2 linked regions of the Canis lupus familiaris genome follow. The protein of the gene in region 1 purifies or fractionates together with the protein of each later gene. This does not show direct contact. Links are inferred from orthologs where the notes say so. Each region holds a gene or a part of one and is shown in the gene's direction. Other genes may lie near its edges.

What was found.
Region 2: the proteins of EIF3F (region 1) and EIF4G1 purify together in Homo sapiens (affinity purification with mass spectrometry; 3 studies listed by BioGRID, with this or other methods). This does not show direct contact. The link is inferred for Canis lupus familiaris from reciprocal best matches to the Homo sapiens genes EIF3F and EIF4G1.

What each region holds. Positions count from the first base shown.
Region 1 is NC_049242.1:32,120,541-32,125,036, forward strand, and holds the start of EIF3F (eukaryotic translation initiation factor 3 subunit F), read left to right. Parts: upstream 1-1,477; 5' UTR 1,478-1,501; coding exon 1,502-1,901; intron 1,902-4,496. UniProt on the Homo sapiens protein: Component of the eukaryotic translation initiation factor 3 (eIF-3) complex, which is required for several steps in the initiation of protein synthesis.
Region 2 is NC_049255.1:17,374,385-17,378,194, forward strand, and holds part of EIF4G1 (eukaryotic translation initiation factor 4 gamma 1), read left to right. Parts: intron 1-56; coding exon 57-161; intron 162-272; coding exon 273-432; intron 433-480; exon of another isoform or gene 481-556; intron 557-630; coding exon 631-731; intron 732-1,332; coding exon 1,333-1,435; intron 1,436-1,682; coding exon 1,683-1,785; intron 1,786-2,017; coding exon 2,018-2,277; intron 2,278-2,386; coding exon 2,387-2,505; intron 2,506-2,630; coding exon 2,631-2,803; intron 2,804-3,323; coding exon 3,324-3,449; intron 3,450-3,609; coding exon 3,610-3,691; intron 3,692-3,810.

The sequences.
Region 1 (4,496 bases):
GTATATCTGCCCAGAACATTGACAGGGGAGCTGGATCATGTGAATTCTAATTATGGAAGGTAGCTCCAAAGAGAAGGCAGTTCTTGGACATAAGGGTCAGGGCTAGGAAGTCCAACCTCACCCAGTTTGGACTTGCCAATTGGATGCCAGGACTTGATCTAATTAAAAGGAGTTGATTGGTTTCCTGGCAGGTAGATATGACCACTCCCACTGTACCAAGAAGGAAACTGAGACTCCGAAAAAATTATAGATTGCCCAAAGTTACACACAATGTTAGAATCAGAGCTCTTTTCCATTGCATAGCGGTGGTAATAGCTTCCGCTTAATAATAGTAACGGCTGTAGGGGCACCTGTGTGGCTCAGGGGTTGAGCATCTGCCTTCGGCTCAGGTGGTGATCCCAGGGTCCTGGGACTGAGTCCCACATAGGACTCCCTGCAGGGAGCCTCCTTCTCCCTCTGCCTATGTCTCTGCCTCTCTGTGTCTCTCATGAATCAATATATAAAATATTTAATAATAATAATAACTTCTATGTATCAGGCACATGCTAAGAGCTTTACAGAGGGTTACTCCTTGAAACCCTCTCCCAAAGCACAGACTAGCATCTCCACCTGACCACTCAACAATTCTGCTGGGATGTCTAATGAGGGTGACACCTCCAAAATTGAACTTAGGACCTTTTCAAAAAAAAAAAAAAAAAAAAACACCTGCTCCACGGGCACCTGGGTGGCTCAGCGGTTGAGCATCTGCCTTCGACTCAGGTCACGATCTCAGCCCTCGCACGGGGCTCCTTGCTCAGCAGGGAGTCTGCTTCTCCCTCTGCCCCTCACCCCACTCATGCTCACTCTCAAATAAATTAAATATTTTTTTAAAAAAACAGCCCCCTCCCTTGCCTCCTTCAATCCACTCAGATCTCACGCTCTCATTGTTACCCACCCTACCTTCTGATTCTCCCTTATTCCCCGCTCGTTTTTCCTTTTTCATAGCATCCATCACCCTGTAACATACTATATACCCTTTTGTCTCTCTCCGCTAGATATTGGGCATTTTTGAGGACAACGATCCTTGTTCTGTCCTCTGATCTACATTCCGAGGGCCTAACACAGCGCCTGGCACCTATTCACACTGGTGACTGAAGAAGCCGCCGCACCCACACCTTCTGACGCGGTGAAGAAGTGCCTTTAAAACGCACTTTATCGTCCACTACCCCTTTGAAGTCTGGAAACTCTGGGTCCACCTGGCGGCCGCTGAGCAGTCGGAGCGGTTTCTTCTCTCATCGCCGTCTCAAGTTTGTCCGGAACTATTCAGCTCCGTCCTCACTTGAGTGCTCATCGGTCTGAAATCAAAGAGCACAAACTCAGAGCCGGAAACTGTGCCGTGAGAAGCATTACCGGTAGCCAATCGGCATAAAGATCTCGTTCACGTGGTGCATCTTCAGCCTATCGTGTTCTACTACTTTTCAACTCCCTCCCTTCCGCTCCCGGCTCCTTCTCTCTCGACAAGATGGCCACACCGGCAGCCCCGGCGAGTGCTCCTGCCGCCACCCCAGCCCCAGCCTCCGCCCCGGCCGCGGCCCCAACCTCGGTCTCAGCCCCGGCCGCAACCCCAGCTTCAGCGCCAGCGCCGGCTCCGGCTCCAGCGCCGGTCCCAGCTCCAACGCCGGCTCCAGCCTCTGCCTCAGACCCGGGGACTGCGGCGGCCACGACTGCGGCTCCGGGCCAGACCCCGGCGTCTACGCCAGCCCCAGCGCAGACTCCGGCGCAGTCACTGCCGGGTCCTGCTCTCCCAGGCCCCTTCCCCGGGGGCCGCGTGGTCCGGCTGCACCCGGTCATTTTGGCTTCCATCGTGGACAGCTACGAGCGACGCAACGAGGGCGCTGCCCGAGTTATCGGGACCCTGCTGGGTGAGTGGTCAAACCGCATTGACCCTCTCGCCTCCCGTTTATCCCATTGACCTCTTGACCTATTTCTGCATCCCGTCTTTCTGCCGCGACTTCCCTCCTTGAAGGAACTCGCACTTTCCTGCCAGGTTGCTGTCACTTTGGTCGACACAGAATACGTAAGCCGTAGTGCGTTACTGAATAAGTATCGTGTGCCGAATGATCGATCCCGGGTCCCCAGGATCACGCCCTGGGCTGAAGGCGGTGCCAAACCGCTGGGCCACCCGGGCTGCCCCTGGTTTTATGTTTTATTTTTAATCTCCCCGCTAGCATTTGAGGTCAAGTGTGATTAGTCCCAGACTGCCAAAAATGAGTTCAGATGCCGACGAGGAAGTCAGAAACGTTTGACTAAACGTTCGACTAAACGCTGCCCCCCACCCCCCCCGCCGCCTTCCACCCCCTTCCACGGTCTAAATGTCCTTATTTTCCAGGTGTTTACGAGGACGTTTTAAACCAGTTGGTAAAGAAGTAGGGACTTCTGTAAAAAGACATCCCTTTCAACAAGTTTGGCAGAAACCTATTTAGGTTTTTAATGATATTCTGCTTTTCTAAACATTTAATCCTGATCTTATGTTTTTTAATCTCCCTGATATGTTAATTTGTAAAGCTGAGAAGCTAAATAGGGATTACTGATAATAATGCCCTTTTCTCTTGGGAACTGCTGATCCCATCAAAGTCCTTTTCCTTCCATCCTTGTCACCAATTTTAGATCCCTTTGTAAATGGACTCTAGCCTCGTTTGTCATTTCTCTTATTCTTGAATATGTATGTAATAGTCTTTCTAGCATAGAAGACAACTGAATTGCAAAGGGGACAAGATTTGACGGTAGATTGCACCAAATATTAACCATGTGCCTTGGGATTCCTGGGTGGCTCAGTGGCTGGGTGCCTGCCTTTGGCCCAGGGCATGATCCTGGAGTCCCAGGATCAAGTCCCACATCGGGCTCCCTGTATGGAGCCTGCTTCTCTCTCTGCCTGTGTCTCTGCCTCTCTCTTTCTCTCTGTGTGTGTCTTTCATGAATAGATAAATAAAATCTTAAAAAAAAAAAAAAAAAAAAAAAAAAAAAAAACATGTGCCTTGAGACAAATTACCTGAAGTCTAGTTCTTTCGGGGCACTTAGACTTAGTCTTTGCAGAAACTAAACTATCACCAAAAGCATCTCACTGCTGGCAGACCATTAGGTACAAAACCGCGGTTGACTGCAGTCTTCCACCACATCAGGGCTACCCCCACACCCCCAATCCCTGCCTTGCAACACACACACATTTGCCCTCTCTTTGAAGATTTAGCATTTCACAGAACCTTCAGTTGATCCATTATCTTCCAAACATCAAGGTTTTTCTCAAACCAAGCCTTTGTATTCTGTTTGACATAAATGTCTTCCCTGCTCTCTCTCATTTAAGTTTCACTCATTTCCTGGGTTCCCAGGAAAAGTGTTAAGTGTCAGTTCTTTGTCTCACATTACCACCCTCACCTCCATTCTTAACCTCCAAAGTATAGTAGCATTCTGTAAATGTGTCCTGCTTTGAGCTTCTGAAATAAATGATTTTTGCAACAAAGGTTGGCACTTGACGAATACTAATCTATTTACTCTTTGAGCTGCACTGCCAAATTTTCCAAATCCACTGGAGCTATTTAAAGAAACCCAGGGAGAATGCTCAGAGCCCCCAGATACTCTAGTGACTCTAGTTAGACCAACTAGTCTAGCTCTTCAGATCCTCTTCCAGACTGGGATAATGGTATAATGCTCAGTGTTATAGAGACAGTACTTCACTGAAGAATTAAACACAGACTGCTCACGAGGAGCTTCTGAATATTCTCAGATGTTAATTCATGAAACATTTAATTTGGTTAAATGAAATGACTGGTACTGTTTAAATACCATAAAACTGTTACATATTTTGAATTCAAAGTTTGATAAAATAACTTCTGTTCTAACCTTAAATTCAAGATGAAGATATATGCAAATAATTAGAATACAATGTGATAAATGCTTTAACTGAAGGATATTGTGGCATGGAAATGCAGAAGACTTAAAACTGCTTCAGAAGTGTGAAATGGTCAAGTTTATTGAATTCCTGTTTAGAGGTCAAATAAGCATATTTATCCGCTGGGTTTGAAGACATAGTTTTAGCAAAGGGAGCAGAAACCATAGTGAAGTGGAATTAAACAGACACATGGGTGGCAGCATTGTGGTCTGTGGAGGAGGGGGAAGTGCTTGAAGCCTGGTATGGGTGGTGCCAGTAGATTAGAAAAACATGGAGAACTCAAGGGACTAGCAGTCTTAGGTCAAGAAACAAACTAAGTGGGAGTAAAGGTATCAGAACTAGAACAGAAATTTGTGGTAAAAGACTGATACTGATGTTTACAGTTCACAGGTAGAAGGTTTCTGGATGATGATGGGGTTAAGGACATGACCATTGGACTAGATGACTGAAGGGAGGTAAAGGTGAAGCTCCCTAAGATTGTACTCTGAGGCTAGGCTTCTGTTTGGGTGGCCTATGTAGACATTGTCAGAATTTTCCAAGTATTCTGCAGAATGAATTATAAGAGAAAGTC
Region 2 (3,810 bases), on another chromosome or scaffold:
ACAGTTGAAGGTAAGGTGTCACAAGCTCCTGACCTGATCCTTTTGCTTCTTCCTAGCCCCGAATGGATCAGTATTTCAACCAGATGGAAAAAATCATTAAGGAAAAGAAGACTTCATCCCGAATCCGCTTTATGCTGCAAGACGTGCTGGATCTGCGACGGGTGTGTGTCCTCTCCTTCTCACTGCTGGTCTGCTGCCTGTATGCGTATCCAACATTGCTTGGTCTGGCCCTCTGATATGATTATCTTGTGACTGGCATTCTGTCCCCACAGAGCAATTGGGTGCCACGCCGTGGGGACCAGGGTCCCAAGACCATTGACCAGATCCACAAGGAGGCTGAGATGGAGGAGCACTGGGAGCACGTAAAAGTGCAGCAGCTAATGGCCAAGGGCAGTGACAAGCGTCGGGGTGGCCCTCCAGGCCCACCCATTAGTGAGTTTGGGACTCCGGTTACGAGGGGGCAGAGTGAGGGGTTAAACTTTCCACTGATGACTTCTTGTTAGTGCCACGTGTCTGGGCCACTGAGACCACATGATGGAACTGAGGATCTGAGGAAGGGGGTCTGGGGGTAGCCCCAGGTGATCGGGGGGCTAGGAGTTACTCATTATTGTAATATACTCTTTGTCCCAGGTCGTGGCCTCCCACTTGTGGATGATGGTGGCTGGAACACAGTCCCCATCAGCAAGGGCAGCCGCCCTATCGACACCTCACGACTCACCAAGATCACGAAGGTAGGGGGGCGTATTGGAGGGTGTCACTACCTAGTGGTAGTGGTCATTGGAGGGAAAAGAGGGATCAGTTGGCATTGAACATAGATTTGGATCTTCATCTCCTTACTTCTGAGGTTGAAAAGGTGATGGCTTTCCTCTTGGACTAACTGGTTAGACTCCTAGAGACAGGACTGCCAGCTCAAGAAGATGTATTCACATCTGTCTGGGCCAGCAAACTCGCACAGCAGATCTGTCCCATTCCTTCTCTACATTCCACAGCTAAGAAGCGGCTTTTACAGTTTTAACAGTTGAAAAAAATAAAATGGATGATTTGAGTAATGAAATTACTCAAAATGTAAATTTCAGCATGCATAATTTTATTAGAAAACATGACCAAATTCATTCCCCTTAAGTATTGCGAGTGACTGTTTTTGTGCTACAGTGGCCATGTGGAATGGTTGAAATAGAAACTATATGATATGCAAAGCCTTAAGTATTTACTATTTGGCCTTTTAGAGGAAAAGTTTGCCTGGCTCCTGGTCTATGCCATTTGCTACTGTGTAGCTATGGGCTTTGGCCAGATCAGACTGATGCTCCACTCCACTCCCGTTTCCTTCCACAGCCTGGCTCCATTGATTCTAACAACCAGCTCTTTGCACCTGGAGGGCGATTGAGCTGGGGCAAGGGCAGCAGTGGAGGCTCAGGAGCCAAGCCCTCTGATGCAGGTACTTGAGGCCATCGTAAGGAGCTGGGGGCCTAGGAATCCTCTTATTTGAGGGCAGAGCCTTATTTGTAGGAGAGGCTTTTGTATAAAGTGGTTGGGTAATAACAGGAGGCTTATGCTTGGGACGAGGGGGACTGAATGAACTGTGTTCATGTTGGGAGTAGGACCAAGTGTCCTAAACTGGCGAGTAGGAGATGGAATGGAAGAAAGTAGGAAGAGATTTTGATGTGGGCTTTCTGCCTCCCCAGCATCAGAAGCTGCTCGTCCAGCTACTAGTACCTTGAACCGCTTCTCAGCCCTTCAACAAGCAGTACCTACAGAAAGCACAGACAGCAGACGTGTGGTACAGAGGTGAGGCTTCCCCTGCGAGTGTCTTTGTTTTTCACGTGGGGAGTACTGGGATTGGGCTTTGGTGGTTGCCATAGGAATCCTCACATCTGTAATGCTCATAGTCCATGGCTAGATGGGGGCACATTCCAGATTCCAGGAACTATGCCTGATGATTGCTGAGCTTGTTGGAAAGTTCTACAGGAGAGTGCCTAGGCAGTACAGGTGAGAGGTGACATGCCTGTTTTTTCTCCAGGAGTAGTTTGAGTCGGGAAAGAGGTGAGAAAGCTGGGGACCGGGGAGACCGCCTAGAGCGGAGTGAACGGGGAGGTGACCGTGGGGACCGCCTCGATCGCTCTCGGACACCTGCCACCAAGCGGAGCTTCAGCAAGGAAGTGGAGGAGCGAAGTAGAGAGCGGCCCTCCCAGCCTGAGGGACTGCGCAAGGCAGCTAGCCTCACAGAGGATCGGGACCGTGGGCGGGATGCCGGTAAGGGACCGGGAGAGGAAGGGAAAGGTAAGGTGTGGGTTTGGGACTAGCCAGCCTCCAGTCTTCAGAGCTCCAGGTCTTTCTTGCTAGGAAAATTGGAACTGAAGAGTCTCTGATCTGTTTCTCCCCCCTTCAGTGAAGCGAGAAGCCACCCTGCCCCCAGTGAGTCCCCCGAAAGCTGCGCTTTCTGAGGAAGAGCTGGAGAAGAAATCCAAGGCCATCATTGAGGAATATCTCCATCTCAATGATATGAAGGTAGGCAGTGGGAGGTGTCTCAGTGACAGCAGGGTGGCCAGGGAGGGACATGTGCTGACATGCATGGAGTGTGGGGTTAGGACCAGACAGTGACTGCCCTCTCCCTCCTGCCCACACTCCTGCAGGAGGCAGTGCAGTGTGTACAGGAGCTGGCCTCACCCTCCCTGCTCTTCATCTTTGTGCGACATGGCATTGAGTCAACACTGGAGCGCAGCACCATTGCTCGTGAGCATATGGGGCGGCTGCTGCACCAGCTGCTCTCTGCTGGGCACCTCTCCACTGCTCAGTACTACCAAGGGTATGTCTTCTGAGGGCCTTCTACTTTTACATCCCACAGACTTCCTTTCTTTGTGTAGGATCTGTGGAACCTTGGATGAGAGTATAGCCATCCCGGTTAGCATTACTTTTGGCAGGGGTAGAGTGTACCATGTAAGGACAAAAGTGTGGCCTTGGCTTGAGATAATTGCCCCATGTCTAGGAAGTGTTCTTGAGGGTCTCCACAGTGGATCCTTTAACAATGTCATCTTGCCCCAGAGGGATGGTGGGGGTCCAGCTTACCTTTCCTAGAATGTATGATTTCTTTCTCCTTAAAAGATTTATTTTTATTTGAGAGGGAGGGAGGGCAGGCAGGCAAGTGGAAGGAGGGGTAGAAGGGGAGAGAAACCTCAAGCAGACTCCCCACTGAGCATGGAGCTAGACAGGGCTCAATCCCAGGACCCCAAGATCATGACCTGAGCTGATTACCGAGAATCAGATATTCTGCTGACTGAGCTACCCAGGTGCCCCTAGAATGCCCTGACTTTGAATTCCATTTGCAGGCTGTATGAAATCTTAGAATTGGCTGAAGACATGGAAATTGACATCCCCCACGTGTGGCTCTACCTAGCAGAACTCATAACGCCCATTCTGCAGGAAGGTGGGGTACCTATGGGGGAGCTGTTCAGGTAAGCCCCCTTTGGGGATTCAGGGGAGGTAAAGACAAGAAGAAAGCTGGGGAGGGGGAGTACATATGGCAGGTTCAATGCCTGGATTTGGGGAGGGATGGGGCAGTGTACTGACTGAGTGAGCCATTAACACTCTGTAATTTCCTTTTTTTCTCTATAGGGAGATTACAAAACCTCTGAGACCCCTGGGCAAAGCTGCTTCTCTGTTGCTGGAGATCCTGGGGCTCCTATGCAAAAGTATGGTAAGTAAGAGCCTTTTGGGGGTGATGTGTAGAGACTTCTCTTCCGACCATGCTCTTTTGGCCAGTTGCTGTGACCCTGATGGCTCATGGTCCTTTGGTGGGATGGGGTTAATGGCGAG